4 linked regions of the Drosophila melanogaster genome follow. The protein of the gene in region 3 interacts with the protein of the main gene of each other region in a pairwise test. Each region holds a gene or a part of one and is shown on either strand. Other genes may lie near its edges. The genes, in order: eg, CG2926, CG8319 and fd59A.

Evidence for each region.
Region 1: the proteins of CG8319 (region 3) and eg interact in a two-hybrid assay, tested with the Drosophila melanogaster proteins (one large-scale study listed by BioGRID).
Region 2: the proteins of CG8319 (region 3) and CG2926 interact in a two-hybrid assay, tested with the Drosophila melanogaster proteins (one large-scale study listed by BioGRID).
Region 4: the proteins of CG8319 (region 3) and fd59A interact in a two-hybrid assay, tested with the Drosophila melanogaster proteins (one large-scale study listed by BioGRID).

What each region holds. Positions count from the first base shown.
Region 1 is NT_037436.4:21,805,140-21,813,476, forward strand, and holds the start of eg (eagle), read left to right. Parts: upstream 1-3,563; 5' UTR 3,564-3,665; intron 3,666-3,699; exon of another isoform or gene 3,700-4,098; intron 4,099-7,865; exon of another isoform or gene 7,866-7,946; coding exon of another isoform or gene 7,947-8,114; exon of another isoform or gene 8,115-8,135; intron 8,136-8,225; exon of another isoform or gene 8,226-8,337. Other genes in the region: CG43895 (uncharacterized protein), read right to left, coding at 7,947-8,114.
Region 2 is NT_033777.3:5,582,545-5,590,922, reverse strand, and holds the start of CG2926 (uncharacterized protein), read left to right. Parts: upstream 1-2,542; 5' UTR 2,543-3,105; coding exon 3,106-3,402; intron 3,403-3,471; coding exon 3,472-5,751; intron 5,752-6,087; coding exon of another isoform or gene 6,088-6,135; exon of another isoform or gene 6,136-6,143; intron 6,144-6,244; coding exon 6,245-8,378. Other genes in the region: noi (noisette), read left to right, coding at 1-1,102; PolZ2 (DNA polymerase zeta subunit 2), read right to left, coding at 1,384-1,980.
Region 3 is NT_033777.3:9,624,391-9,631,762, reverse strand, and holds CG8319 (uncharacterized protein), read right to left. Parts: upstream 4,443-7,372; 5' UTR 4,366-4,442; coding exon 3,854-4,365; intron 3,793-3,853; coding exon 3,153-3,792; 3' UTR 3,087-3,152; downstream 1-3,086. Other genes in the region: SpdS (spermidine synthase), read right to left, coding at 1-42; Calr (calreticulin), read left to right, coding at 998-1,085, 1,210-1,314, 1,583-2,055, 2,148-2,702; CG9427 (uncharacterized protein), read left to right, coding at 5,427-5,528, 5,804-6,094, 6,199-6,336, 6,431-6,541; CG8312 (uncharacterized protein), read right to left, coding at 7,185-7,372.
Region 4 is NT_033778.4:22,863,862-22,872,564, forward strand, and holds fd59A (forkhead domain 59A), read left to right. Parts: upstream 1-4,297; 5' UTR 4,298-4,640; coding exon 4,641-4,993; intron 4,994-5,313; coding exon 5,314-6,331; 3' UTR 6,332-6,845; downstream 6,846-8,703. Other genes in the region: CG13532 (uncharacterized protein), read left to right, coding at 7,935-7,998, 8,081-8,274, 8,369-8,531. UniProt on the Drosophila melanogaster protein: Involved in development during embryogenesis.

The sequences.
Region 1 (8,337 bases), on a different chromosome or scaffold from region 3:
GGATCTTCCCTCGCGTCGACACCTTTATGAAGTGTCAAAGTCAAGGGCCGGGAGCCAGTTCATTAATTTGACATGATCCGTGATCTTGAAACGCTCAAGAGCCGCATTAATACGGGACACTCAAACTCACTCCAATTCGTATTCGCATTCAGTGCTCGGTGTTTATGTACATAATTGTTGCATAATAAACACATTAATCACCGCTGCTTGGCTGAAGTTCCGTGGCAGATGAACGAGTCCTGTTTTGCAGGGGATGCTTAATGTGTCTGACATTGCTAATGGTTCAAGATGATGTTTTGATGCATTTCGTTTAAGTTCCCCCTCCCCAATTTCACAAAAAAAAGCCCAAAAGTCTGAGCATCTGCCTTTTTCTCAATTCCTTGAGAAGCAGGGAATGCGAACGATTGTTGGTATCTAAAGCTTCAGTTTGTATTGATATCGGATGATGGTTTGCTTGATTTATGTAGATTCTCAATAAAATGTATTAAGAGAATTACTTAATTTACCTTAAGGCATTAAATACTTAACAGTAAAAGTATCCAAATGGCATCTAACTTTTGGTAACAACAATTTTTGAGGAGTATTTTCATAGATGACCCATCTTCCATATATCCTTATATCGCCAATAGTATTGTCAGTGGCTGGGGGGTCGGGGTGAAGGAAAGGAGAAGATGACTATAACTTACAGCTACAACAACAGACAGTGGCAAAAATATGTCCATGTAACGTATTCCTCACTCCCTCTCCTTCGCCTGTCCAGCAGCTATCTCTATCTGACTTCATGCAATGCAATTCTAAAAATTGAATTATTCATGGCGATTGTACGACAATCAATTGAAATTGAAATAAAATGCTGCCTGCCAGTTGTTGCCGATGTTGTTGTTGTCGATGTTGTTGCGTCTAAACGCGTTGTTGTTGCAGCGTTTGCTACCGCCTTTGACATGTGCGCAGATCGATTTTCAGATTTTTTTGGCCCGGCTTGGCCTGCGTCCGTTCAATCGAAATTGTGATTTAAAGTATCTGTATCTGGATCGATTTGGCATCGATCGCATGTCGCCAAATGTCTTCAATCCTCTGGCATTCCGGCCTCAAGTCAGCTTTGGAAGATTTGTCGCCTATTTTGTGTGTGCCTCGCAGCGATTTCTTTCGCAGATTCGTCTGGTTTTTTGGCCATGGCCAATTTGTATTTGGCCATGCCAGCGCACAAAACAGACCTGTTCAAGTGTTTGCCAATCTCCGATTGGCTTGACTGAAGTTTTCACTGAAAATTTGTAGTGGGAAAAAGTCACTTTACTGAGTTGATCCTTAAGCTTTATTTAAATAGAAAACTTTAAAATGTAAGTAATAAATTTAAATTAAATTTGTGTAAAGCTTAACTAACAACAATATGAACTTGCCAAAAACAAAAAAACAATTACTTGTTGAAGATTTGGTGCATCATTGGCATTTACAATTTCCTAGCGATTTAGTTAATTTTAAAAGTGATTTAAAAAGTATATCTTCCAAATCTCTTATTGATAGAATTAAAATTCGGGAAATTCTATATCCTGAGTACAATTTGTTTAAGTCCGTCTTGAAAGTAAGCCAACCAACTCTGTTCATAATTAGATTAAAGTTTCTTGCTCTCCGCTCCGTATCGCTTCAAGTGGCCACAATTTGAGGCAGATTGCGCTCTAATAAATATGGGCAGCCATCTAAGCTAATGCCCCAACTCATCACCGAGTTGAGAGATGAGCACGCAAGCAGGCGAGATACGCATGCGCCCGTTGCCAAGGCCCAAACTTAATTAAAAATTTGGAGAGAGCGGAGGGAAAATTTCAGATTGCCCACGAGCTGAAGAAATTTTAATATGACGACCAAATTGCACCGCAGCAGCTCCAGGAGCTGCATCGCCACTTGGCAGATTATGACGACAACTATACTGACAGGCAGAGCCAGAGGAAACTACTCCAAGAAACTAGCCAGATTCAGTTGCAGTCGCAATCGGAGTCTCCGTTCCAGTTCATGGCTAAATGCTTTTGGCTGTGATAAATTACACGTCGTTTTAGAGTGTTGCGCTTCCTTGTTACTCCGTCAAGTGGTGTTGACACGGCCGCGGCGAATGCAGAGTATTAAACGATCTCCGCCGTGGCACTCTTCTTCCGTCCAGTGGTGTTATTAAAATGAAATCATCATCATCACCAAGTGACAGAAGCCGGGAGTCTGAGCCTGAGCCTGAGCCTGAGTCTAAGTCTGAGCTGAGATGAGTTGAGATGGAGGGACAGACAACGACTGGTCAAATGCCCGGGGATCACTTTAGTGGGCATCTCGGCGCACGAAGGCAGTCATCTGATCATGCTTATGACAGGAGAATTCAATTAGACATATGGAAACGCGTTGATTGTTCCACTGGCAATTTTGCGCCTGGTGGCAATCCGATTTAAGCAGCACAGAACTAGCATTGATTATTTTGCAATTGTTGTTGAAGTACCGTATCGAATGTATTTAAATGGATACCATTTAGCCCTAATAAAATTGATTCCTTGTTAAACAATCTCATGCAACTTTTATTTTATTTACGCTCACAAGAATATAGCTTTATATATACCATTAGTGGCAGAATTTTGTATTCAACCTAAAAGAATTCTGCAGTGCCCCCAGATAGAATAAACCAACATCTATGCATATGTTTTCCATGTGGTCATCTCCAATCGTTATCAATCCGACAAAGATTCACATAAAAATATTTAAATATACGAAAGACTAGGGAGGCGAACTTGTTTTCTCCATTTTGCAGGTCAAGCCACAAATAACCTCTGATGTTTTCTTGGTTTCTCCCAATGTTTGTTTACACTGATCGCCGGGCATTAAGTGCCCACCTCCTTGCCACATTAGTCGTCCAATACGAGTTCAATTGGATGCACATGCACAACGAAGCAAACCAGGGCCAACACTCTCGCGGCCAATACACTCAAATGATAACAGTACCGTGTGTAGAGTCAAACGGGGGTAAAAAGACATCAGCCAACAGCCAACCGCATCGACACAGTATTCAATGGAAACGAACGAAACGCTTGGAGATCGTGCCGGTGCCAACAGCCAACCACAGTTCAGCTCTCAGAAGATGCGACGCTTTAACATTTACGGAGAGCGGAGAGTCGCGAACCGAGCTGGAAACGTACAGCAAACATGTTCGAAGCGAGGTCGGTAGCAGGGTGCACTTGGAGAAAAATGTTAGCACTCTTAATATACATAAATGCGTTTTGACTTATTTCAGTTAGCGTTGTAGAAACAAAAAACTGCATTTTTTCAGGGTACTAACTTGTCAATAATATCTTTAATATATTATTTAATAATATATATTTAATATAATTGTTTTAAAATTCTCCCGAAAATAACAAATCTTGTTTCGTTAACAGTTCAGTCAACAGATCTTACCGCCATAACATTGCTGTTAAACCGGCAGAACGGAGCACGCGCACCATTCGCCACAGCAGCTGTTTGCCAAACAGGATTTCCTGCAGCGACGGCCGCCGATTAACAGTTAAGTTTCGCCGTGCCCTGCCACTGTTGCAAACGCACGCACACAATCTAGCGACGCGTGCGCTTTGTTGTCTTGTTGCCGCTGCTGTTGCTGTTAGTGCTGCTGTTCGTGCTGCCGCGCTGCAGATGCTGCTGCTGCTGGGGTAAGATGATCTTTGAGGCCAGGGCCGCGCTGCCAGTTCGAGTCTGTTTGGCGCTCAGAACGACGGCGACGATTTAGTCTCGGATGGACGCTACGCTGCCAAGCACCGTCAGTCAGGCTTTCGCTGTTCTCTCGCTCTCGCAATCGCATTATATCCGACCGATCGCGAAGTTTTTCGGCACTATGTGCGCCACGTGATTGCTGAAATCTCCTTCGAAAGCCGTCGCTATATCATCAGCGATAATTCGGATTTAAGGTGTCATGTGAAGAGTGTGTTTGATATAATCAGTTGATTTTCATTCAAACGTATCCCAGTGTGTGAAGTTAAAAAAAAAACTGGAAAAATTAACATCTAAAGAGGAAAAAATAAATAAATAGTGAGTTGGTAAAAACATCGAATTTATGCTGTTGTGGAAATATATGATCTGGAAAAGGTAAGATTTTGTTGTATATGAGCTTATGCTATTAAAAAATGGCTAAGTCTCCCTGCTGACAAACAAAACATATTAAGAGAATAAATAAAACATTTATTCATTGAATTAATGAGACAACAACAAGTTGAGATGCTGGACACATAATTCAAACGCTAAAACAATAGATAAATACAAGCAATATATATATTAAAGGCTTAATTGAATAAAAACCATTTTGCATAATTTCCATAAATTTGTCGGATGGTTGTTGTAAGTCAAAATAAATCGCAAATAAAAGATTAATACCGAAAACAATTGCATTATAAAAACCAAACCAATTAAAGACTGAAATTATACAATTTAATAATATTTTTAGCAATAATTGAAATACTTAGTACAAACTATTAAAATCAAAACAAAAAACCAACAATAAAAAGACAAATCTGTTGCGAAGAAATGGCCCAACTATCCCCAGCTATCAAGGACCAAGCTTAACTCCCATGAGTTCGTACTCACACCACTAAGGAGGACCAAGGAGAACCAGAAAAAGTGTAATGGTGAAGACAAAAGAAGCTCATTGACATGCTCATTAATAATGTTATTGCCTTTTGTGCGATAAGTGTCAAGAAATTTCTACAATAGGGGCTGCGAATGGACAAAGATGGGAGATATTCAAACATTTAATTGTCCAACTGCTGTCGGCAATCAAGCAGAAAAGGGCCAGGGGCAGCCTGAAGCGACTGGATCGTGGATCCTCGATCGCGAAGGAAGAAGGATCAAGGATGGAGGATGGAGGATGGAGGATGGAGGATGGAGGATGGAGGATGGAGGATGGAGGATGGAGGATCGCAGATCAAGAATTGCGGAAGCAGACAATTCAAACTAGAGCGTGTGACTGCTGAGTGGATTTGCATACTGCGAATGTCCGTCTCCAGTGGTTGGCAGGGCTAATAATAAAGCATATTACCGGCAATTGTGCGCGAGATGGAAGGCGATTCGGGTGTAGGAAGGGTTTGGGCTTGGGTTTGGGTTTGGGTTAGGGCTTGGACTTGGATTTGGATTGCAGATTGTGTCAATGCTCCGGGGTTCGGTTCAGTGGGCTGTGTTCTTGATTCTTGTTCTATTTTGTAGCGGCTTCAAAATATTTGAGACAATCGTGGTTTGCTTGTTTGAACACCTTTTCTCCCTCTGTTGCCTTTATCAGATTTGGCATTGTCCATCATTTTGTTTGCTTTAAAGGACACATTTTTTTGGGACCTTGTTTATTATTCCTATTGAGAGAAGTCCAACGTTCTGCCCACTTTTTTTCAGCTCTGTCAACAGCGAGTTGATGAGCTTGTTGAGAATGTGGCAGCGACCAACTGATCTGGTTCTTATTGTCTAAGCCGCTCTGAACTTGTCCCCATCGAGTTCATCTGCAGATCTCCATAGATTAGATCCGAACAATCTCCTCCACTTGGCTTGCGATCAATATACAGTTGTAGTTTCTGTAGCAGTTTAGGTTTCTAATTAATTGTCTGTTTCTGCCCAATGTGTAACATTAATCTTGGCTTAATCGATAAGTCTGACAGCCAAGATCGTTCCTATATCTGGTCTGATCTGTTCGGTTCGATATACACTCAGAAATGAACAATGGGGATTCTGTTTTTAAATTTGAAAGGAACCTGCAGAGTCAAATATTTCGAATTGGCACAACCAAAGACACTAGAATGTCTTTGGCACAACTCTCGTCTACTCATTGTTTTCCCACAAATCGAACTGGCCATCGGACCTAAGCATTGCATTCACCTTAAATTTGGGCTCGGCTTGAGGACTTGTAATTAGCTCGAAGCATGGGAATTATGTACTCCTCCATGACATCTACTACTTCTATGCGCTGACTTAAAGGGGTCCTAAAGATGCCCCAAGAACAAGACTCTCAAATATGCGCCCGGTTACGTGGATCAGTGGCCTTGGTCGTTGTCGTCGTGATAAAGCCAAAAAGATTGAGATGCCGCCTGCGGATAGGGATCTGCAAGTTTATAGCTCGAGCGTGCCGCTCAATTGGATTTCAATCGGGTTTCTCAATAAGGATCGAAATGATTTTTGACTTTTTGGTTCTTTATCTACGAAGTTCAGGTACGGCGAGATGTATTGCAATTTACAGCACTTCTATGCATATTAAGTGCATAAATATTTAGTTTTATGAGTGCTTATTTATGAAAGCAGTGCAGCAGTAATATAGGTTGTTCCCAATGTCGAAGGTAAATGCACCTATTTGATGTAATTATACTCATTTTTCGGCTAACACGATGCTTATGAATCCATTTCCCCAAAACTCCTCCATTCAGAGATCTTCTTTCTAGCTGAGTGCAATCTGGCTTACCACTCCAGCTCCACCACGAACTGCGGTTCTGAGTCTTTGGGACCCAGAGATGGAAGATCTCCTCGATGATTTTCCTGCTTTCTGAAAAAGTGCACCGCTGTGCCGAAAATTGTCACGGTTTCGCGGTCGATGGCTCGCTTGCTGTGAAGGTGCAAATTTAATGTTTGCCAATTTAGCAGCGCTCTGCTGTCACCTTTGGTGTCCATTAGCGAGCGTTTATATGCAAAGTGCCGAGCATTGGCAGGCCAGCTCCGGATCTGGCAGCCGGCGGGCTTTGGACGGGGCCAACCATTATCACAGAAGCAGCATCACGTTGTGGCCACACCACCTGCTGGGCGCATTTCGCGGAGCAGCTCCCTGCCACTTGCATCCCTGGTCCGGAAAATATCCAGACTGGGAAAACTCTGGGGAGCACTTAAGCTTGCTAGCTGGCTGTCATTGGAGGGAGTCAGGGCGTTCTGTGGCAGTTCTGGTTCTCAAAAGGGCCAACGAGAATTACGAAGATCCTGATGGTTACAGAGCCGCACGTAAATACTTGATTTTTATTTATGATAACAATACTTAAAATAATAAAAATATTAATTATTCTTATTATAATATTAATAAAAATAATGATAATAATAATAATATTAATAATAACAATAATAATTATAATAATAATAATAATAATAATAAGAACAATAATAATAATAATAATAATATTTATAATATTAATATTATATTATATAATATATAATATATAATATTATATTAATAATAATATTAATGATAATAATAATAATAATAATAATAATAATAATAATAATTATAATAATAACAATAATAATAATAATAATAATAATAATAATAATAATAATAATAATAATAATAATAATAATAATAATAATAATAATAATAATAATAATAATAATAATAATAATAACAGTAACAATACTAAAAAGAATAATCAGATTTAATCAAAAATGTATCCGTTTTACTTTTTTTTTTTAAATAAATGTTTCTCTCTTTAAAAAGGTTCTGTATAAATGTAATTAATTATTTAAAATTTCCCTTCTGACGACTAACAAGTAAAAGTTAAATTTCATTATCCTACCATTTGTTTTTGAATTGCTTGATCACATAGTTCATATAATTTTATTATCCTTGTATTGGACTTCACGATTTATTTATTATATATATTATCTCTTAAACAGTTTATATGTTTCTGTTTCTTCATCATAAAATAATATACTATACTATATTATAATATAATAAACTATACAAGTTATGGACGAAGAAGTCTGGCCATTTGTGGCCCGTATTTCCCCAAAAGTGGCAGCTAAGGCCTCCATGGAATACATTATTAGCGCACAAATGTGTTTAAGAATTTATATTGTATATCCATGACAAAATTGATCCCTCCCTCGGATTCTTCATGCTCTTTAAGTAGTTGACGCAAGATTTTCGCAGATATTTTATTTGCGCTTCGCCGTATCTTTTCTCGCTTGACCTTAGGCTTTATGGGCTAGCAAAACAAGTCACTGTAGTACATTGCATTAGATGTGTGAAAGAGTCTTCCCGGGAAAAGGGAGAGGGGTTCTCGGGCGAACGAGAAGGGAAGACGAGGTGCATGGTCTTCTGACATTGCCGCGACCGAAACTTTGATGGTGCAAGCCCAAACCGGTCGCTGCATACCTCAATTTCTATCCACGACCTGTAGCGAAATAAAAAGGCAAAATTGCGAAAAAAGAATAAAATAAAGAGAAACGCAGTGGGTCATCGGTTATGCATGCTGCTGCTTTACCGCTGGACTTCCCCTTCCTCCTCTGGTCTGATGCTTCTTGGCGTGGTTTCATGGCTCTTCTTATGGACATGGCCGTGGCCTCGTCTCGATCTCAGCTGAGCTTGTCCGATGA
Region 2 (8,378 bases), 4.0 Mb from region 3:
CTATCTGGACCTCAACGAGTGCTACGAGCTGTACCTCAACTTGCGGTCGGTGGAGAAACTGGACTATATCACTTACCTTATGTCCTTTGACCACGTCTTCGATATTCCGAGAGAGCGCAAGAACCGCGAGTACCGCATATACATAGAGACCCTCAACGACTACCTGCACCACTTCATCCTCCGAATCCAGCCCTTGCTCGACCTGGAGGGCGAACTGCTAAAGGTGGAACTTGACTTCCAGCGCCAGTGGCTGATGGGCACATTTCCGGGTTTTTCGATTAAGGAAACTGAGTCGGCGTTGGCCAACACCGGCGCCCACCTTGATCTATCCGCCTTCTCCAGCTGGGAGGAGCTGGCCTCGCTAGGACTGGATCGTCTAAAGTCGGCTTTGGTGGCTCTGGGTCTTAAGTGCGGCGGCACCCTGGAGGAGCGAGCACAGCGTTTATTCTCTACAAAAGGTAAAAGCACCTTGGATCCCGCACTGATGGCCAAGAAGCCCAGCGCAAAGACTGCTAGTGCCCAGTCACGGGAGCACGAACGCCACAAGGAGATTGCCCAGCTAGAGGCTCTGCTCTACAAATACGCGGATCTGTTGTCTGAGCAGAGAGCGGCTACCAAGGAGAATGTGCAGAGAAAACAGGCTCGGACTGGTGGCGAGCGGGACGATAGCGATGTGGAGGCCAGCGAGTCGGACAACGAAGATGATCCCGACGCGGACGACGTTCCGTACAATCCCAAGAACTTGCCGCTCGGATGGGACGGTAAACCTATCCCCTACTGGTTGTATAAACTGCATGGCCTGAATATTAGCTATAATTGCGAGATATGTGGAAACTTCACCTACAAGGGTCCTAAGGCTTTTCAACGACACTTCGCCGAGTGGCGGCATGCGCACGGCATGCGATGCCTCGGCATTCCGAACACCGCCCATTTCGCCAATGTCACCCAGATCGAGGACGCAATCACGTTGTGGGAAAAACTCAAGTCGCAAAAGCAGAGCGAGCGCTGGGTAGCCGATCAGGAGGAAGAGTTCGAGGACTCGCTGGGAAACGTTGTCAACCGAAAGACGTTCGAGGATCTAAAACGCCAGGGTCTACTTTAGAGGACAAGCCTACGATTATGGTCGCTTGAGTACCGGTCAATTCTATATGACGCTTCCTCTAAAACCTCAACAGTCTTTATAATTCAAAACGGAATGACACTAAAATTGGTTTTATTTAAGGAATCTAATGTTAAGCCATAAAACCATTGGGCGTCCTTTTATTCATTAAAGAAAGACCATGGATCAGCCAACGATTCATGATTAGAATCAATTGTAGTTTAAAATAAACCCAACGTCGTGTAGTTTTCGATAAAATGGATAACAGTTTTAGGAATATAACATTAATTAACGATGAGGACATCCATTTTCAGTCCCAAATCATCTACCCTAGCCAAAGGAAGGAGGTAAACGGTTCGCCCTGTCGCTTGGGATTCAGTTTTTTGGGTCTGAAGCCAGGGAAACTCCTGGTACTGGGAGTCATGGCTGAAGCGGATGAATGCCTCCTGGGTAGTGTGCAGATGCACCTTAAACTGACAACTTCCGGCGGGCAGTTTAGGCGCCTGGTTTAAGCGCTGAGAGATTTTGTAGATGACAGAGCGCATGTTCTGCTCGAACTCCATCAAATGATCCTCTGCCGGTAGGCCACTCCTCTGGGTTTCTAGTTGCATTTTATAGCTCTCCAACTTCTCATTCTCCTTCTGATACACTATTAGCTCCAGGCACTGCAGCTCCCGGCGGCGAAGAAGTTCTTGTGCGGATTTTAGGACGCCGGCCAGGTAGTTATTAAGCGGTGGAAATATGGACACATAGATGGGCGAGTTGTACATCCGCTTCATTTTAAAAATGTGCGAGGGGTATATACCGCGCACGTATAGAATGTGATTCACTAGCACCTCCATCGCCTCCACGATGATGTCGGCCTTAATCTCCGCCTGCATTTCGCAAGCAAGCGCAACTAAGTTCACAGATGATTGTTTATTTTTTAGATTTAAGCTCCGTTCATTAGGGGTGGTTCACTAAAAAAAACAATGAATCGATATGGCGCGACATCATAGGTTACTAGATTACACAGATTATCTTTTTTAAATTGCTTTTCTATTTCTCGAAAGCCATATTCGTAAATTAAACCGTTGATATATAAAATTATAAATTATTAAATGTATCAAACTAATTGCATCTGTTTGGTCATTCAAATCGACATTTTAACAATCGATATTTTCAACGTTATCTGTTTATTATTTCAAAAACTTTAAGAAGGTAACATAAAGAAATTGATTTATGTTTATATTTAAATCTTTTAGTTTTTCATTATTTTAGTACTTTTTTGCAATCATAATTATTTTGCGTACTGTCCAGGAGCATTTTGTAGTAAGATTCAGTTTAAACAGAATTTAAAGAAGTGACATTTGGAGTAGAGAAACCAATACAATTCTTATTGAAACCGAATAATCTATACCCTTTCGATTTAAACAACATAAGGCGCCTATCGCCGTCTAAATGAAATCGTCTGTGGCACAAAAATATCGAAAGCGCTCGCTGACGTTAACCCACCTCTAGCTGAAAAAATGGCTGAAATCCAAGTGTGTGTGTAAAGGAAACTGTGTGTGAAAAATTTGAGTTTGTTACCAATTTGGAAATACCGACGTTGGGGCTACAAAATACAGGAGCATTGCCCACTGGCCACAGCATCTGCCCTTTAAACGAGTCATCACGGAAGCTGTTGAGCGATAAACGCCAGGCGGAGTTCCCGAAAATTGGCAATTGATGCCACTCACGGAAATCGGCACTCGGCACCCTGCACCCTGCACTTTTCGGTCACAGCGGCCTGCAATTACAGACAAGCCAGGCCGAAAGGCGACTACGCGGACTCCGGCTGGGCATCGTATCGAAAATGTGGCTACCAGGCCGAGAGCAGAGACTAGCAAGAACGAATAACTAGATGCAAATCGTGCAAATAGCACTCCCTATATGTAATATATATGTAATACACACGCGCCTGCCCTGCCGACAGTGTACACACAACAATATATCGGCTTGATACACACATACGCAGTTGCATCAGCATGTCCGACCGTGATTCCGATGCCGTATCCGACGCTGGTCCTCGCCTGAGTCAGCAGCGCGGGCAGCGGAACCGGCGCATCATAATGCGGATCGAGTTCAAGGACTCGGAGGATTCGGCGTCGGATCAAGACCGGGATGACCGCCCCTCCTGCTCCGCGGCGACGCGCCTGAGACGCAGCACCCGTCGACAGGAGGTGGCTTCGCATTCGGATTCCGACTCCGTGCCCCGGAAGTCTACGCGGAAGCTGCGCAATCGCTACGGGCCGCGGAGCGATTGCTCATCCAGCGGCAGCGATGTAAGGCATTAAAGTTGTAACCACTTCCCAGCGGCATCACCTATTAATGCACTACTTCATTCATTCCAGATCGATCAACTGCCGACGAGAACCAGAAAACGAAAGAAGGTAGAGTCCTCCGATGAGGAGGAGCCCGAGCGGACGCCCAACGCGGTTGGAAGAATCCAACCCATGCCCGCTGACCCCGACGACGGCTTCAGTTCCGACATCAGCAGTAACGATCTGCTGGAGAAGTGCCCCATTTGCTTGCTCACTTTCCGGCAGCAGGAGATTGGTACGCCAGCAACATGCGAGCACATATTCTGCGCGGCCTGCATCGACGCCTGGTCCCGAAATGTCCAAACTTGTCCCATTGATCGCATTGAATTTGACCGGATTATCGTGCGGGACTCGTACGCTAGTCGCCGGGTGGTGAGAGAAGTGAGGTTGGACCTGAGTAAGTCCAATACTGAATTGGTGGTAGATGACGAGGCAGACACCGCTGCGCTTTCCGAAGAGGAGGTCACCAACTGCGAAATCTGCGAAAGTCCGGATCGGGAGGATGTAATGTTGTTGTGCGATAGCTGCAATCAGGGATACCACATGGACTGCCTAGACCCGCCGCTGTACGAGATCCCAGCTGGGTCGTGGTATTGCGACAACTGTATTGACTCCGACGACGAGGATGATAATGAGCAGCTGGAGCTGGCTGACGACTTGGATCAGCTATACGAGGATATTAGAGGTATGGGCTTGCCGGAGACTCGTCTCAGGGTACGTGAGGTGCAGGAACCGCCAAGAATCCTGCGCACCCGTCAAAACGAACGCATAAGGGCTGCTGTACTGCGACGTACTCGCTCGGGCGCTACGTCGGCGGAAGATTCCACACTGACCCGGACTCGTACCCGCACCACCACCACAACAACAACCACTACTACAACTACTCGGCGCACAACCACAAGCACGAAAAAAAGACCTGTTCAGCGGCGGCGACGGAGAAGGACTCGCTATCGCACCTACGTGGTCGAGTACGATCTAAACAACTTTGACGAAAAGTTCGCCCTTAAAACCAGCAAGAAAGTGATAAGACGGCGTAGGCGTCGGCGTCGTCGTGGAGTCGCCACTGCCTCTAGTGAGGGGCCTGGTCGACGTCTTTCAGCCAGCAAGCGACTTGCAGAGCAGATGGGAGTAAAATCGGAAGGATTTCAAAGTTCTCATCTAAGTGGTGGAACAGCCTCCAGTTTCTCGCTATTTGGCAATGCGAACGACCTGGAGTATTTCTCCGATAGTGAGCCAGACGCAGTGAGCCAGATCAGTTCTGCTGGACTCGGATCGACTGCAGTGCAAACCTCAGTGCGCATTGGAAGCATTGGAGCACCGCGCATCCGTAAAGCCTTGCTCCAAGGCAAGGCGCGCATAGCAGCGCCGCCCACAGCTCCGACTTCAGCTCCCGCTGCAGACATACTGTCTAGCATTTTGGATTTGCAGGATCGCTGGCACGATGCTTCACGTAACCTAGGCGAAGTGCATATTAGGGCGGACGGTACCCTCAATATTCCCCAGAGACCTGCACCTACAGCGACGGAAGCGCCTTTACCGAAAGCAGGTACTTCTAAGACCGAGAAGCATTTAACCCAGGCACCGCTTTACCAACAGGGAGGAGGAGGACCTAACTACAACAGAGGCGGAGGAGCAGGCTCAAGTGATAGTTACAACAATCGTTACAGCGGCAATACCAGTTACCGCGGAGGTGGTGGAGGCGGCGCTGGAGGATCTAGCGGTGGTAGTGGTGTGCCCAGCAGTAGCGGGGAAGCTTCCTCGCGACACTTGACCGGTGAAGGAGACGGCCAAGGAGGCGGTGGCTTTGGCAACCAAAACTTTAGCAGCTCCGGCTCCAACAACAACACTAATATGTCAAGCTTTATTCCGTTCCATCTGCGATTCAACACGCCCACCCGCCAGCAGCAACCACGACAGCAAAACGTGCTGCCAGCTAACCAACCCACCCCGCCTTTCCCTGGAAGTGCACCGCCTCCAGCCCCAGTAGCGTCGTCATCAAACAATTTTTCGGGACAGACTCCAATGTTTGCAGCTCCCCTCAATCATCATCCTGCACCAGTGATGGGTATGCCAGTTGTGCTGTCCATACCACCTCCGCCTATGCCACCTGCCAGCCTTCCATGGAACAGTCCTCTCTTCAAGATAACCCCACTCCAGCAAGCACCGGCCAAATCCAACGATGGCAACCAAAACGACGATGTTGACAACTGCCCAAACTTCTCAATTTACTCGCAGGAGTCGCAGGCGGTTGCTAATGCCTCGGCGATGCCGTCAGGGGTTCCACACGGACCAGCGGATGCATCTGATAAGGTATGATATCTATGGGGTTTTCAGAATCTAGAGATATTTAACATGAATAATAGTAGGAGTATTTAGTATACGGAACCGAAGATTTTAATGTTGATTTAGGTAATTATCAAACAAATTAAGCGAGGTAAAGAAAAAAGTGATTTTGATATCAGCTTTGGTGATGAAAAATGTTTGAAGTGGGTAGTTATTAACTTTATTACCAGTAATAAAAGGCAAAATTATGCAAACAAAAAAGCATATTTAAAATTATATAGGTAAGTAATGGGTACATCATTATTCTCGCCATAATCTTCCGAAACAAAAAGATACACAAATGTATAACATTTTAATTTTCAGTTTTTAAAACCAAATATAATGTTATTGAAACCAAAGCAAGCAATATAATTAGTTAAGTAAGTCACGTTTGATAGTTTTTCAGACCAATTCTTCTTCAACGCTTACTAATCTCTAATCTTCTCTTTTCATCTTCATTTAATCCTTTCCTCTGGGACAGGATGATGACGATATGAATGAAGATTTAGTACAATTAGATGATGATGATGAGGATACGGATATACCATTGCCTTTGGGGCCTGAGCCCGAACCCGTTCCCGAAAAAGTCCCGAAAAGTAGTGATGATGACCTCTACGAGCCAGAGAATCCAACCGAAGAACCTGAAGAACCCGAAATGTTCGAAGAGTCCTGTGACGCTGTTCCAACGGAGAAGTCCGAGTCCTCAGATCACGAGCCAAGCAACTCCAACGTGCAAGCTGCAGCCCCAGAGGAAAACGATGCTGAGGAAGCTAGGACGCGCAGCACTCCCAGCCCACTGGTCAAAGAGGATCGCGCTGCGGATCGAGATCGGGCCAAGGGAGTACTCGAGCTTTATGATGATAGCGACTGGGAGGAGTTAGACATTGACAAACCGAAAGAGTTCGAGAAGGCACTGCTTACGGAAACGGAGGCACAGGTCAGCCCCAAGAGAGCTCCGTCTAAGCGACCACCATCAAAAAAGGATACAAGCTTAGAGAGAGATGTCAACGAAAGCGGTAGCGAGCACGAGCAGGATCGCTCGTACACGCCCTGTCTGGACGAAAAAAATTTGGCAGAGGAGGAAGAGGCTGGGACAACGCATCAAAACAATGTAAGTACGAGTCCCAAGACTCGATCCTCTAAAGTTTCCGGCGACGAGGATGAGCCAGAGAAAGCTGTCGGTACGGATATTCAGTCAGAGGACGAATTGAACAACGAAAACGAGTCACCGCGACGCAGTCGAAGCCGTGGCACGGCTAACAATAAAAAAGACAAGTCAAAGTCGCGTTCAAAACGCAACAAGGGCGAGACTTTCAAAAAGGTCGGCAAGCGGCAAAAGGATCGCAACTATCGTGGAGACAAGTCGGAGCCAGATCGGAGCCCGCGTCCAGACTCCAGGAGTCTCACTCCAAAGATGCGTTCTAAGAGCCCGAGAGTCAGCAAGAGCATTAGTCGCAGTAGGAGTGGAAGCAGGAGCAGATGTAAGAGCAAGAGTTTTAGTAGAAGCAGAAGTCGTTCCCCAAGTCGCAGTAGGAACAGGCGTCGACGTAACAGCCGTTCCAAGTCCTACTCCCGCTCTCATTCTAGGTCTCGATCGCGTTCGAACTCGCATAGCCGCCAGAGATTTTCCTTTCGCGGAAGGGACCACCAGCGCGGCTTTTTCCGTGGCCGTGGAGGCCTCCGTTTAAACTACCGCAACCAGCAGTTCCACAACAGGCCGTTCCAGCATTACGGCCAAAATTATCACCAGAACCAAAACTACCACCATCAGCACAATCAGCACCAAAATTACTTTCCACCCAATCAGCATGGCCAGCATCAGCAGTACTTTCAACGTCCCAAACGAAGGGAACTACCTCGCTATGATGTTCGAAATGTGGTGGGCACATCGAGACATCAGACACAGGCCAAGGATCGCTATGGACGCGACGCAATGCGGTCGCACAGAAGTCGTTCGGGAAGGCGAAACTCACGCAGTTTCTCACGTAGTGTTTCTCGTGACTCGCGGGTCTCCCTGCGCTCCCGATCTGGTTCCCCCAAGCGACGCAGCTTTAGCATGTCGCCCACGCCACCGCCAGGAACGTCACCTCCTCCTCATAAACATGGTAGGGGCCGTCAAACCTCTACGAACAGACGCTATGCACGCTCACCCTCACCGGCACCGTCTCCCCGCAATGAAAGGGCGACTAGTCCAGTTCAATCAGTTCACTCCAGAAGATCGCGCTCGCACACTCCCAACCGCATCAACGGAGATGGTAATAGATCATCCCTATATATGGGCTCGCCACACTACACGCCACGGATAAGTCGCAGCCGCAGCAGAAGTCGTTCCAAGAGTCCCAAGGATATGCACAAGAAGAAAAAAAAGAAGTCAGATAAAAAGAAAAGGAGGAAGAGGACGGGCAGCAGCAGTCCGACGACAGCAGCGCGGATGCGTCGCATCTCGCGGCAACGTGATCCCTTCGAGGATGCCGACGACTTCCTCGCTCCCCAGAGAAAACGAAAGAAGGCAGGAATAACGACTGGTCAGTGGTCACCATCGCCATCACCCGGTCGCTGCGATTTCCTGCACGACAGCGCCCTTCAGGACAAAAACTCGTCTTGGACGCCCCCAC
Region 3 (7,372 bases):
GGCCTGCAGTTCGCTGAACCATCCGTTGTTAAGGGAATCCATTTGTTTAATGCCGCATTCGAATCGGCGTTTGATAAGATTGGCTCAACACGTGGGCTCGACACGAACTTACCGTATCTGCCACAAAGCTAGGTCTTAAAAAATACCTTAGAAGGTCTATTGGTATAAATACCAAAGCTTTTTTGTTTTAATTAATTTAATTTCACTTTTCTATTTCTGGCTATTTATCTTTTTTATTAATATAATACATTTCCAGCGAAAATTGTAATTTTTTAATGTAATAAAGTCAAATGTAAAAGTTAGCACTTATAGATAAAAAAGTTCCTAAAATTAACGAAATACAGGTGCAAAGTTTTGGAATTCCTTTATTTGTTTTTGATTTGTATTATAATGTATAATTAACATTCTAACTTTTTAAATACTATGAACTTTATCGGGTGAAAACTTAATTGTTAACATGTGATGTAAGTGTGAGTTAAAATTTTCAAAACCCTTAAGCCGTTAAAAAGCTTAGGAATGTTCTGGAAGCACAACTGTTCTTCCTGTAACTACTACAATTGTTAAGTAGTAGAAGAATTGTTATTGGAGTAATTTTATGTTTTCTTAGCTTAGCCTGCTGCAAGTGATTAATTGTATGCCAGAATATATTAATTTTATATATTTTATAATTTAATTTAATTAGCAAACGGTCACTTTAGTGTTTCTAATTCCAGCTCAAGCAATCGATAGCGACAGGGCAGCATGCGATTGCTTATCGAAATCAGCCCTGGCCGGTGAAAAAGAATACGTAGACATCCCTGATTGGCCTGATTTGGGCCAATGAAAACGTTCCAGCAAACCAATTTCAGTAACAAGCCGTCCCGCTCCGACACGCACGATTTAGATGCAATAAATAAATAGCACTTTCTTGCCGGCATTTAGTACTTAACTTTAACCGAGTTCGGACAACCATCGGAGTTGGAAGAGTCAGTCCAAAAAGTGGTGCGGGATCGTTCACATGATGTGGTGCAAAACAGTGATAGTGTTGCTGGCGACAGTCGGCTTTATTAGTGCCGAGGTTTATCTGAAGGAGAATTTCGACAACGGTAAGTGGTAGTCATCGCGTTCTATGGCCGCCATGTGGTCCTCCGCTCCCCTTCAATGAATAACGAAAGGAGAGACAATAAAAATAGAAGAATAATAAAAGCACTCCCCCGCTTGTTCCCGTAGAAAACTGGGAGGATACGTGGATCTACAGCAAACATCCTGGCAAGGAGTTCGGAAAATTCGTCCTCACCCCCGGTACCTTCTACAACGATGCTGAGGCCGACAAAGGTAGCGTATATGTGTCGATGTGTCGTCACTCCCTTTTCCAAATCTTTCTCTTCGCTCGTTCTGCCATTTTTATTTTTCGTCGGCGTGTTATCTGCATTTGTATGTGCCCGTGTATGCGGAGAACATGGGCACGAAGAAGAAGAGGAAGAAGAAGAAAAACCACTACGTGTACGTTTTCGAGTAGCTATAGTAACTGTATACACATTTTTTCTCGCCCCCCACCTCCGCGCGGCGCGCATTCGTATTGATGTGGACACACATTATATAGGCATTCAGACCTCTCAGGATGCTCGATTCTACGCGGCCAGCCGCAAGTTTGATGGCTTCTCCAACGAGGACAAGCCCCTCGTGGTGCAGTTCTCCGTGAAGCACGAGCAGAATATCGACTGCGGCGGCGGCTATGTGAAGCTGTTCGACTGCTCCCTCGACCAGACCGACATGCACGGCGAGTCGCCGTACGAGATCATGTTCGGCCCGGACATCTGCGGACCCGGCACCAAGAAGGTCCATGTGATCTTCAGCTACAAGGGCAAGAACCACCTAATCAGCAAAGACATCCGCTGCAAAGATGACGTGTACACCCACTTCTACACGCTGATTGTCAGACCCGACAACACGTACGAGGTGCTCATCGACAACGAGAAGGTGGAGTCTGGCAACCTGGAGGACGACTGGGACTTCCTGGCCCCCAAGAAGATCAAGGATCCCACCGCCACCAAGCCCGAAGACTGGGACGATAGGGTAAGTTGTAAATCCCCGCCCAAATCAGACTTTAGCCCATCGAAAAACCGGTTTGGCTCATTGTTATTAAACAACAACGTAAATCTCTGTAGGCCACCATTCCCGATCCCGATGACAAGAAGCCCGAGGACTGGGACAAACCAGAGCACATTCCCGACCCAGATGCCACAAAGCCTGAGGATTGGGACGATGAGATGGACGGCGAGTGGGAGCCACCGATGATCGACAACCCTGAGTTCAAGGGCGAGTGGCAGCCAAAGCAGCTGGACAACCCCAACTACAAGGGCGCCTGGGAGCATCCCGAGATCGCCAATCCCGAGTATGTGCCCGACGACAAGCTGTATCTGCGCAAGGAGATCTGCACCCTGGGCTTCGATCTCTGGCAGGTCAAGTCCGGCACTATCTTCGACAACGTCCTGATCACGGACGACGTGGAGCTGGCCGCTAAGGCTGCTGCCGAAGTCAAGAACACCCAGGCGGGCGAGAAGAAAATGAAGGAGGCCCAGGATGAGGTGCAGCGCAAGAAGGACGAGGAGGAGGCGAAAAAGGCTTCCGACAAGGACGATGAGGACGAGGATGATGACGATGAGGAGAAGGATGATGAATCTAAGCAAGACAAAGATCAAAGCGAACACGACGAATTGTAAGGACGTCTAGGGAAAATTACGTCGAGAAATATTCGGTATTTTTTGTGTGTTGGTAGCTGCTTTGATGTTCTAAGCAAACGGAAACCACAATTACAATTTGTAAGACTTATAATTTATAAACATACAACTTGTTGTTTTTTTCCATTGCTCTTTTCGAGCGATTTAAGGGTTGTTTAGCTTGTTTATCAAAATGGTGGTGCCACGTGAACAAATCACGGCCGAATGGCAACGCTGTCTATATCGTCGTGTCTACATCGAATTTTGATTTACAGAAAAACGGTGTTGCCACTCCAAATGGTTTTCAAAGTGCTGTTCGAATTCTACGAAAATATAAATCCTAAATTCAATTAAATCCCAATATGAACTATAGAAACAATGAGATATAAACATAACCGAATCCTAATTTATTTATTCGAGTAAGCCGTGGTATTTGGTCAAGAATTTAAGGTATCACTTTAGCTTTAGCTTTTGATCTCCATCCCGATGCTTGCCCAGAAAGTGCCGCTTCAGATGATGTTTCTCCCGGAAGTCCTGCAGGCAGATGGAACACTTGTAGGGCCGTTCATCCGAGTGGCGTCGTCGGTGCTTCGCCAGGTTATTGTTGTCCGAAAAAGTCTTGGGGCAGTGGGGGCATTGGTAGGGCTTCTCGCCCGTGTGTATGCGGATGTGGACCTTAAGGGCCTGCTTGGAACGGAAGTTGGACACGCAGAAGGGACAGGCATGCGGCCGTTCGCCCATGTGCGCATGGATGTGCACCTTGAGGGCCGACTTGTTGAAGAATCCCGTTTGGCAGTATGAACATTTGTGGGGTCCGTTTCCCTGTTTCGATTCCGCGTGGATCAACAGGTGCGCCTTGAGGTTTTGTTCGCGAGTAAAGGCCTGCTGACAGTGGGGGCACTGAAAGGGCGAACGCTCCTGCATATCCTTGCATTTGTGGCTGTCCAGGCTCTGGGTGCTTGAAAAGACCTTTAAGCATTCCGGGCACTCGACGGTGGAATTGCTATTGCGATAACATTGGTGGTTATCCAGATCGGCCTTGAACAGAAAACGCTCTTCGCAGTTTTGGCATACGTGTGAATTGCTGTGAACCCTGTGGAATGAGATATACAATTTTAAGAACAGGTGAAATCATATGTATTGATTGTAATTACTTCATGTGGTCCAGGAGGTTTATTTGGCGCTTGAACTGTTTGATGCATAGTTCGCATTTGAAAGTCTGATTCTTTATACTCCTTAGCTGTCTGCCAGCTCTACTGGTTGTTATGGAAGACTTGGTTGTTCTGGAAGCTGTTTGATGTGTCTTTTTAATTTCCTTGTTGAGTTTCTTCTTTGCTTCCAGATTGCCTTTGTCTGGGTTCTCAATGAATAGGAAATCCTCCTCGTTGGGCTCGTCCTTGATGACCTGCCCATTTAATATCGCCAAATAGAACTTCTTGTAGTTCTCTTCGCATCTTCGCTTGAATCCGTAAGCAGTTCGTGCATCGTGGACACAGGAAATGCACATTTTTTGGGGCATAGCGTCGTCGGGATCCAACTGCACGTCGGCACATGTCTTCACCATCTCAGCGAGCTTGGCTCCATCAACATATTCTTCCACCTGATCGTCGAAAATGCCCAGCATGTTTTCCGAGGCCCCGCCACAAATTCGACACAGGTCCTCCATTGCTTAACTGCTGTTTAACTACAGGTCATATTTTTGGTAAACAATAAACTATGGTATAAACTTTTGTGTGCTTCTTTGTTTGGCTTTGGCTTAATAGAGATGAACTTTTCTGCCGTGACTTTAGTGACTCCAATTTTCGATCACGGTATTTATAAATGAAAGGTAAGCAAAGTTATGTTGTTAATAAAATAACAAGAAATTGAAAATAGTAATTCATTATAATTCATAGTTGATAATTTAGATTCATTGAGTCACGGTTTTTAAAAGTAAAATCTATCGATAACTGTAGCCACAGTCGCCAATCGATTGCATTTAAATAGTTCGCGCTACACCGTTTAGACTCAAATAAAGCAAATAATTGTATTTTAAACGCTTCCGTGAAATTGGCCATGCAAATTAGTTTGATATGGAAAACGTAGTTACTAGTTGGTATATTTATTGCAGACATGAACAGACTAAGTGTGAATATAATACTATCCTTTATGCTGTCTCTTCTGATATGGCAGACTTTCACATATTACTCGGTACTTGAAAATATATGCCAGGAAATCAAGGAGCAGCTTAAGTTGAATATGAAACAGGTGAGATACTGTATCTTTAAATTATGCTTATCTAACAAAGAAGTACATAAATATAATACAATAAATATAATAGCATAGTTATTGACAAGTAATAAAAAGTTTATTAGCCTTCATAGTAACTTCTTCCCAATATTTGCACTAAGCCAAAAGTGTTAATTATCGTATTGCGAATCCGTTAAATGTATGAATGCTTAGTTAAGCTTTTTAAATCGAAATCAGGCTGAGTCAAGAAACCGGCTTGCCTGCGAGAACGTCGATGAGAGGTGGTAAAACAGCTCTGCCCGTTCCCAGTTCGCTGCTAGCCAAAATTAAGCACCGAATGTGACAAAACGGCGGCGCTCAGTTGCTCAACTAAAATCGAGTCCGACGGTCGCGTTAGCTTGGGCTTGGCATTCGCTGCGGACACAGAAGCCTTCATTCCCGCACTTCGTCGAAGGTCGATCGATTTGGCTAACCAAAGCTCAAATTACTAGTCACAAGATGACGAAGTTGGCGTCCACCGCAAGCCTTCTGCTTCTCGTTCTGTCCCTCGGATGGGCGAAGCTCGAGGAGAAGCCACGGGAGAAGCGCCAGTCCAACAAGGTTTGATTGCAATCCAACGCCTTTGGCTTTTTTGTTTACATTAAGTGAACAAATTCTTTTAAGCTGTGTTCTCTATACTATTTAAATTCGGCTAGAACTAGTAATATGATTAAGAAAACACTACTTTCTTTATGTAAATTTATCTGAATCTAGATTCTAGAATTATTCAGTAGCCCAAAATGAATAATTACTGGTATAATGCGAAGCCTAATTAATAGTTAAGGTGAAAGGCATCATATGATTTTTATCTTTCGACTGAATAATTCCTTTTTTAGCTGCACATCACCCTCCTTTACGAGTCCTTGTGCCCGGACAGCAGGAACTTCATGCATCAGCTAGGACCCGTTTACGAGGAGTTCGGGGACTACATTGATATACTCTTAGTGCCCTTCGGAAAATCGCAGTCGGAGCGCAATGGTGCCATCTTCCACTGCCAGCACGGACCGGCTGAGTGCAAGGGCAATCGCCTCCAGAGTTGCGTCATCAACAGCACCGCAAACCAGGCGGCGCAGGTTAAATTCGTGGTGTGCCAGATGCTAGCTCCGGATTATTCCCGCATTGATCAGGTAATCTACCTTCCGCGTACTCGTTGTGCTGTGTTTGCCCAACTGATTAACGCCCATTGTGTGCATTGTACCCATTATATATACCTTTACCATTCCATACGCAGTGTGCCAATGAGGCAGGCCTGCTCACCGATGTGGTCCACTGCCTGTCCAGCGAGACGGGCACCAAATTGCAGCTGCAGGCGGAGCTGGTGACCAAACAGTACAGCCCGAGCTTCATTCCCACCATCGTCTACAATGGCGTAAGTATGAGTAGCCGCGATCAATCGTCGCCGTAATCGAATGCACTCAACTGGTTTTCTTATTCACATTCGTATTCGTTTCCACATGCAACAGGTCTTCGATCAGCAGCTGCAGGACCATTCGCTGCGCGATTTCCGCGGCACGGTTTGTTATATGTTGCGTCAACAAAACTTGCTGCCCAGCAGCAGCACAATCTGCCAGTAGATAGATCTGCTAAATGTCCAATGTAATTGCCTCAAGTTTGGAATGAAATTAAAATTCATAAACGCACAAGAATGCCTGTCCTCTGGGGGAATGGAATCGATATAATCACAAGCGAATCAATAAGGTCACAGAGAACAAACAGTACAAAATTGGTTTAGGTTCTTTCTATTTTAGGGCTATAATTCGTTCTAAATGTAACATAAATCAAATTTTGATATCATATATATATAATTTAACCAATTGTTATTGTTCACACTTTCCTCTGTGCAGCACACACACCGTTCAGATAATAATTTATATTGATAAGTAAGATACAGTTCATCAATGACAATCGTGTAAATGTATATAGTACATGCAGTGCGTAGGGCGACTAATTTATTTACAAATGCGTACAATATAAATTCATTATTTTTGGATCAAGGGGCACAGATTTAGATGATGGGATGGAAAATGGGGGATGGGCGAATATCGTTAGGTTTTCCTCTCGATGAACCAACAACAAATGACTTAACGACTAGGTGCTAATAGCTAATCTACAACTAGGATTTCAATTTCTTGCACTTTGTGTTTTGCTATGGTCGCTGACGGGTGTGCAGAAATAACAATTTGTAGACGGGTTTCCGTTGTAATTAAAGCATTTCGCTCAGACAGCGGTGCCCGGAGCCTTACCAGCGGATGAGCCCGCTGAGGCGCCGGTGGCCACCGCGTTGAGACTGAGCGAGCGACGTGGAGCCGGCTTTGGTGGTACCTGCGGCTTGACGGTCGCAATCTTGGCCAGCGTAACGCTTGCCTCGCTGATCAGCGGCTGCTGACCCGGTCGCTCCTTCTCCT
Region 4 (8,703 bases), on a different chromosome or scaffold from region 3:
ACAAGTGACAATCATCCCACTTAATTGAATTCTGCGCTGCATAATAAATCAACTTAATGCGATCCAAGTACCCAGTCGAGTTCCTCGCGGACGCGAAGCCATTCAAAATGGAGAGCAGGGAAATCCTTTGGCTGCGGTTATAGGTAGCTCGAGCAGATCCAGCGGCAAATAAACAACAATAACACACGATGCCCACTTTTCCACCCGCCCAGTAATTTCCACACTTGTGCTGACACATTGAAAGGGCTTTGGGTTTTATTTATGAATTGAGAAATTGACGTCCTCTGCCGAGCGGAGTGGAGTGGAATGGACTGGGTTCCCGAGGAGGCTTAGGCACACGGTGCTCGATTTTTATTGCCGCCAAACAAGAGGCTTAGGCACAGGCATCACCACCACTACCACTACCACCACCACCACCACCACCATCATCATCGTCATCATCATCCACATCAAATGAACAAAACTGAATGAAATGAGCCACGAAACATTGGTGTGTGGCACTTGCTGTTTGTCCCAACCCTCTGGTACAAAAAAAAGCCGGGATAAATCGAGCGTGAAATATTCCAGCTCGTCCGGAGGATTGCGATCCGGATGCGGGGCAGTGAGGATGGTTAAATCGAATCCATTGTTGTGCTTGCCACTTGTTGGCAGGTTGGAGAACGGAGATCCCGAAACAGAATTTGCGGCTGCAGTTGTGCAATTTGCTCGCTGCCTGCTGTGATTTTTCCCATTGTCCTGGGCAATCCTGGGGTGGCTTGCCCGCTGATTCTCGACGTCCTTGTCCATCAAATTGAGCGTCACTTAAGTATTCAAGTGCCTGTATGTGTATCTCCCACGACCAGAGCCCCAGCCTGACTTGTTTTCTGCGCCTTCAGATACTTCAAAGATTTAATAATCACATAAGAAGTGAAGCTATTAAACCTGCCATCCCTCGCCATTCTCGAACTTCTTACGCGGCCTCAAGTGTTTGCCTTTGCGATCCAGCAGGTGCCACCGACCCTCAGATGCCGTCCACCGATGCAGGATGCGACAGGATGCGCCATCTCAAGCGCAAATTAGAGGGGATCCCCTTCGTAAGATGTACACTTGTCGAAGGACATAACCACTTTCTTAAATTAGTAGTTGTTGGAAATGTCGTACAGGTGCTGAAATATTTCGATATATACAGATAATGATAATATTAATAAACAAAATAATAATTAAATAATAATTAGATGCTGCCATAGCCATTTTGATTTACTTGAATATCAAATGAAGATATCTTATGACCTCTTTTTGTTCCCAGTGCATAATGAAGGCGGACCATCGTCGGTGGCTAGCAACTGTGTCCTTTGTTTGAGCCAAAAGTGGCGATTGTCCTTGCCGAATCCTTGCAGTCAAAGCAATTCAAGTGTCAAATCTTTTATTTGCCTTTTGCAGATTTCGCAATAAAGATTTGTATTGTCAAAGTCTGGGTTCAGCCAAGCCAGAGACCAATCCCGAATCGGTATCCGCAGTCCTTACCCCTCCTGCCCACTGAGCGCTCCGTTTCATCCGCTTGGCATATCCTTTGCCGGCTTGCTTGTGTGCAATAAATTTGCTGACAAAAGAGGGATTATTGCTGGATCATGCCGCTGTTGCTGCAGCGCGGGATGAGGACGCAGGATATTCATGTAGATATATATAGCCCGGAGATGGAGCTGGCGGTGAGGCTGAGCAGGATGTGCTCCTGGTGGCTGGTTCCTGTCAGCGTGCATTCCTCGGCGTTATTGTTTGGCCATAAGTTAATTGTTCCCCTGCGAAAGCTTTAATGCACCGCATCCTTACGCTCAACTGGCCGCCCGAGTCCTTCGTCCTTCATCCGGACTCCTGCCGTGCTAAGGCGGCGATTAACCGTAGTCTGACAGGGAACATGGATACGGCTGTGACCACGGATTGGCCCAGGATAGTGGCTGTTGGAATCGTTTAATTGCCATGGAAACTATTGAGCAGGCGGATAAGTAATGAAAAGTGGATTGAAAGGGCAAATATTTTCGATATACTAGATGCAACTCGCGGGGGATAAAGTGGGCTAATGTTTTTGAGGATGACTGGTAGCTATAGATAGATTATCCTCTATGCATGGTGAGCTATATTGTTGTTAACCATTCTACCGATACAGTTACACATATATTAATGCTGACTCTAGTCGGAATTAATTACCAATTGTTGTCATTACAGTGTACACATGCAATTAATACTCAATAGTTTGAAACACATATTCCTTTTCGATTTCCAGCATTTTCCAGTAATTGGGTACGTTTTTGCTTGATTTACCTGTTTATAAAGTTCCGAAATAGTTTAAGCGTTAGCTTCGAAAAACTTGATTACATTCTGTGTCCAACCAATTTCATTTGGCTGCCATGAAATGTTCTGTTTGCTCATAAAAAGACAAGGATAAGCCTCAATAAATTTTCCGCCTCGAAATTGGGGAGCAGGCAGAGCAGAAACGACCCCATGTAAGTATTGTATATACACCCTTCTATTTATGCCCCCTGATAATACCAACACTACTAAGCGGGATAAAGATACATACCGATGGCCGATGCCACGCCCCTAAAAATCTGGCCAAAAAATCATTGATTTGTAAGTGTAACAATGGGTAAAAGGTGGGCGGGCGTGGGGGAATTGGCAAATGGGAATTTTGGGGGTGGCAAAGCTAAAATAGAATAATGAAAACGATGCCAAGAGTGAAAGAAGCGACATCAATATGGTTCTGAATTCGAAGATGGCGGCCCTTATTGTATTCGTGTCTGTTTCCATGCATCTGTGTGTGTGAGTGAGTGTTTGGTTGTGTGTGGGTAACTTCCGCAAAACTGGAAAACTAATTTGAACAAAGTACAACAAATAAAAGTGACTACTGAATGTTTAATTTGAAAAGGGAAGGCTCCAAACACTGAATGGCGAACAACAACAATGGCTACAACAACAATGTCTAACAACTGGAGAACAAAAACAGCGAAAATGAAAAAGAGAAATAGTACAAAACTCACTTGGATACAAGTACAAATGCAGCAAACACATGTACGTCCAACCCCCTCCCGTCCCACCCACTCTACTGCTCTCTCTCTCTCACTCTAGTAGCCCCCATTGTGCTCGGAGGATGTTGGTGAAAATGGTGCATTTGATTCCATCTCACTTCCACACCCAAATAAAATATACAGAAAAAAAACCAATATTATCTATATTAGATGTATTGTATATTGTATGTATTGTTTTAAAATTATATTTTATTTCGGTTTTTTCGCATTGCTAAAATGACATAACTGTTCTATGCATTTTTTTTTTTTTTAAATGTATTTAATAATAATACATTGTATTATATACATATTTCAGTTAATCGTTCTTAGAATAACCAACAAAATATATCCTATGAAAATAAATACAATTCTACTTATCTAACTGCAAAGAAAAGTCCCTATAACTTCGTTACTTAACTTAAGTAAGATTTGTGGAATTTGGACTTTACATAATTAAACACATAATTAGATTCTTTTCTTTTTTTTCTTTCTGTGCATAGGGACAGAGGGCTGGGAATGAGATTGCGAGCCCGAGAGAAACCAAGAAACGTCGACATACGGTTAGAAAAACATTCGCACATAAAAATGCCAACATTTGAAGCATAACATTTGGGGCAGAGGAGCAGAGTGGTGGTTGGCAGGGCGAGTGCGAGGACGAGGGAGGGCCGCAGGGGAAAAGGACGCCTGCCTCCATGTGGCTGACATAATGAAACATTATTAAGAGCCACGACGTCAAAGCGGCAAAAGGTATCTAAATTTGCGCAAAATGTTTATCCCCCCCACCGCCGCGTTCGTTGGCTTCTGCAGTCGCTGCCAATTTGCCGCCGCTTGGAGAGAGGAAAACACAAATATCGCATTTACAGCCAGGGCTCTCCACCATTTTGTGAGGACTTGCAGCGAGTGGGAGAGGGATGGCACGAGCTAGTTCGCATAGATTGGTTCGCAGGATATCAACCCATCCCCCGCTAGAAAGAGAGGCTTGGCCGGGCTCTCTTGCTCTCTCTCCCTCTGCTGCGATGCTGTCGGGGCGCAGCCAGGATGCTGCCAGGATGCCGTCAGGATGCTCTGCCCGCGCCAACGGCGACGTCGGCAGTAGAATCACAGTTATTCGAGATACGAAAACACAGCAACGGCGACACAAAAGCTCAGGGAAACGTCAGCGGCAGCGGCAATGGCAGCGGTTTTTCATAAATAAATGTTTGAGTTATGTAGAAAAACATTTTGGGCGAGAAGATTTTCGTTTTCGTTGCGATTCAGTTAACATTTGGCCAGCGGATTCCGCCTTCAACGGACGCGACGACGGACTAGGCGCTAGCCAACTTTCCACTTTCCACACCACTGCTGGCCATATGTACAGTTTATCCTAGCAGCTAAACCGGAAACGACGGTAACAGCGAACGGTTAACGGAAGCGGAAATAGAAAAGAAAATATCAAATTCCAAGTTGAATCGAAAAGCATATGCAAATGCCAAGTGAAGCAAGTGAAACGCCAAAACGAACACAGTTCCTGAGCAAAATAGTTAAATAACAGTGTTGCGTCCTCTAAATTTAGTGAGTCCAATTCGCGGACTCAAATAGACTACAGTGTATACCCGCTAAGACATGCACACCAGCACGGATCCCATGCACACATTGCACGACAGCGTCTCCCTCTCGCCGCCGCTCATCAAAAGCTCCAGAGGCGGCTCCTCCATCGGCAACGGAATCGGATGCAGTGCGTCCTCGCGCACTGCCGCCGCAGATGCCATGTCCATGGGCTGCGACGACAGCGACATCGAGCCGTCGTCCATGGGCGGAAGTGGTGCCGCCGGCGGCAACGGAGACGGCTCGGGATCTTCGGGTGGTCCCCTGGTAAAGCCACCATACTCCTACATAGCTCTAATCACCATGGCCATTCTTCAGTCACCGCACAAGAAGCTCACGCTCAGCGGGATCTGCGATTTCATCATGTCGCGGTGAGTTTGCCAGCAAAGTTAATATCCTTAAATGAAGAAGCAATAGTTTGATTTTTTCCAAGTTATCTTAAAACATCAGAAAAAGAGAATAAAAGTAGTAGTTTGTAAAGACGATAAAAATAAATAAATCCTATAAAATTTCAATTGAAAACATAGAAAAGAAGAGACATTCAGTGCTTTAATCGATTTCAAAAATTATAAATTTTAAAATGTGATATTTTATTTACTGATTGCAATGTAAGTGATCTAGATAAACAACCAAATTCTTTAAAAAAAATTCCTCGAAAAAATGTTAAATAACTTGTGCATTTTACTTGTAGCTTTCCATACTACAAGGACAAATTCCCCGCCTGGCAGAACTCCATCCGGCACAATCTCAGCCTGAACGACTGCTTCATAAAGGTGCCCCGCGAGCCGGGAAATCCCGGAAAGGGCAACTTCTGGACGCTGGACCCGCTGGCGGAGGACATGTTCGACAACGGCAGTTTCCTGCGCCGGCGGAAGCGCTACAAACGGGCGCCCACCATGCAACGCTTCTCGTTTCCGGCGGTCTTTGGCACGCTGTCTCCATTTTGGATACGCAAGCCCGTGCCCCTCGTGCCAGTGCATTTCAACGTGCCCAACTTCAATGGGAGCAGGGAGTTCGACGTGGTCCACAATCCGGCGGATGTCTTTGACTCAGCGCTGCGAGCGGACAAGAAGTTTAACTTCTTTGCGAATGCCGAAGCATCCTTCTACCAGGGAAGTCAGTCGGGGGACAAGTTCGACCGGCTGCCCTTCATGAATCGCGGTCGAGGAGCGGATGTCCTGGATGCACTACCGCACAGCAGTGGCTCCGGCGGAGGAGTGGGCGGGGGATCCGAGAGCAGCCGTGGCTCCAAGTACAAAAGCCCATACGCCTTCGATGTGGCGACTGTGGCCAGTGCTGCGGGCATTCCCGGCCACAGGGATTACGCAGAACGACTGTCCGCCGGCGGTGGTTACATGGATCTCAATGTGTACAATGACGATGCGGACACAGAGGCCGATGCGGAAGCCGAGGGAGATGACGACTCATGCGAGGACAAGATCGACGTGGAGAGCGGCAATGAGCAGGAGGACTCACATATCTCGGACTCGGTGGACAGCGCCTGTACAAATCGCCTGGATGCGCCGCCGGAAGCGTTGATCTTTGAGGCTTCTGCCGAGGCGTCCGATTCAAGTCCAAGGAGACGCTTCGATAGCGAGCCCCTGGTTCTGCGGACCAGCAAACAGAGCAGCGCCAAGGACTTTCGCATCGAGACGCTGATTGGCCACCACCTGCATCGCGGTGGCAGCCAGGAGGAGACCAGCGACTAGGCGGGATTCCCACTCGCTTGAACCAATTGGCTTGTGTACAGTCCATTGAACGGTGATTTCAGTTTCGATCTAAGCACGTTTTAACAGCCCACTAACACCACCACCAGCAATCCCCAGGAATCCAATCCGAGCAGCAAGTAGTGATCAGTAGGTGTATCCGTAGGATGTAGGAGCCAGCACACGAGTTTTTAAATGCGACCAAATCGAAGTCAACGCTATAGTTGCCAGTCCACTTACGTACTAAACATATATCTGCGCGTAATATCTATGTAAATCTGAAGCATCGCACGTCTATAGTATACTTTTAACACGAATTCTTGGGGTCTGGAGTCGGGATTTCAGGTTCTAGACCTATATCTACCATGCAAGTACTAATCATGTGTATGTGTGTGCGTGTGCGTCTGCGTGTAACTGTAACACATCCAAGCAAGAGGAACACTATTAACTATAAATTAGACTAAGATTTTTGCTGATGTTATTGAAAATTGAATAAACAACAACATAATAATAGTTTACACGGATACATGTTTGACTGGTAGGTACCGATATACGTGTTGTTACTACAGCTACTACAGCATGTTACTAATATGTTTGTAGTATACTAAATATTAATTTTTAATCCTATTGATACCTGTAATATTGTATTATTTTTATAATTATATTATTATATGTGGCCACTCTCTTCCTTGTAATAATATCCTTAAAGGGATCCCTCTTTTCGACGTTTTGTTACCTTTTGTTTGCAATAAAACACCCCGAGTTATTTGAATTTACCGCCCAGCAAACCTGTCCAGGTGTGGCACCCCTGCCTGGAAATCAGTTCAGCTTTAGCGCCTGCGCAGTGACCATCGCTCAGCTGATTTGGCGCAGGACGTAGTTGTGCCGCCATAGAACGCCGTGGAGTTCGGCGCTACCAAACGAAAGCTCCGCTCTCCCACGAGCGTCCCGTTGGCTTCCAGTGTTAAAACATGAAAAGCTGCGCCTGGCAGCGGGACAACAGTGTGCCGCCGAAGATACCAACACCAACTATTGGTATCCGCCAGCAGAACTCACGCGCTACGCCGAGAGTACGAACTCCACTTTTGGCACAGTTCGCCCCCGCGGACTCCATTCCGCACGCACACACTATCGCAGCCGTAGATGTTCGTGTATGTGGGCTGCAAAAAGTCGATTTTTCGCTAACAAAAAGTATCCTGTCCTGTGTGGGCAAAACTTTAAATGGCCCGGGCCATAAAAGGAGATTGCCATAGTTGCGACTTGCAGTGGGAGATGTCCTGCGAGGAGCTGCTGCGTCCGAGGTGCTGAGCTCGTTGGGCCGAGAAAAGTTTGTGCCAGTCAGTGCCCGTATCCCCAGAAAAAAGCATCCCCCTGCCATTCTGCTTCTGTGATGAGATTGGTGATAATGAGTGCAACCAAAGGCCCCCATGTATCCACATAAAAGCGCAAGCCGAAAACAGACAGCACCGCGATAAGTAGAAACGTCCAACCACCACAGAAGTATTCATTGCCACGCACAACGACGGCGCGTCCTCGCGGAACGGGAGGATCACGAGCGACAGGATCTGGAGTGCCCAGCGACGCTGAGGCAAACTAGTCGGCTGTCATGGCGGGCTGGCGAGGACGAGGCCTACGCGCCACGCTGCTGGCCGTGCTCGCGTTACTCTCGGGTGAGCAGTTCTCGCATACATCCTTTTTGGGTTCCTCCAAACTAATCCTGTACTCCTCCTACTCCGCCCCCATGCCGCATAGTCACTCACTCGGTGCGCATCACCAACCTGCGGGTGCCACGCACCTACACGCTGTTCCGAGACCACGAACCCGATCCTCTGGTGCTCGACTGCGAGGTGGAGATCGGGCCGCGGGAGCAAGGATTCGTCCTCAAATGGCTGTTCAATAACCACTCCATCTACCAGTGGATACCATCGGTCAAGGGGTTCGCCATGGTGAGTCACTCGGGGTCTTTGGTCGCACCGAATTAATTAAGATTAATCGAACTCTGTCTTTGTCTTCGATTTGTTCTTGTTCTTGCGCCTGTAGGGCTTCATGAAGTCGAAGATAGACACCAAAATATTCACTATGGAGGGCAGTCCCGGTGTTATATCGATAAAGAATCCCGACTGGAACATGACGGGGGAGTACACCTGTGCAGTGCAGACCTTCGAGTCCACGGATAAGCGGAGTGCCCGCCTGCAAATAATCGGTGGGTGTCACGACCACGGCCAAAAGAAAAAGGATCGGCGGTGAAAGATGTGCGGTGGCGATGGGAATGGGAATGGGTAGCAGGTGGTGGTGGGGGTCGAAAGGTCTAAGGTGGTGGTTCTGCCTCTGGTTCTGCCGGGTAACCTGCACCCGCCCCCATCTTGACTTGGCCC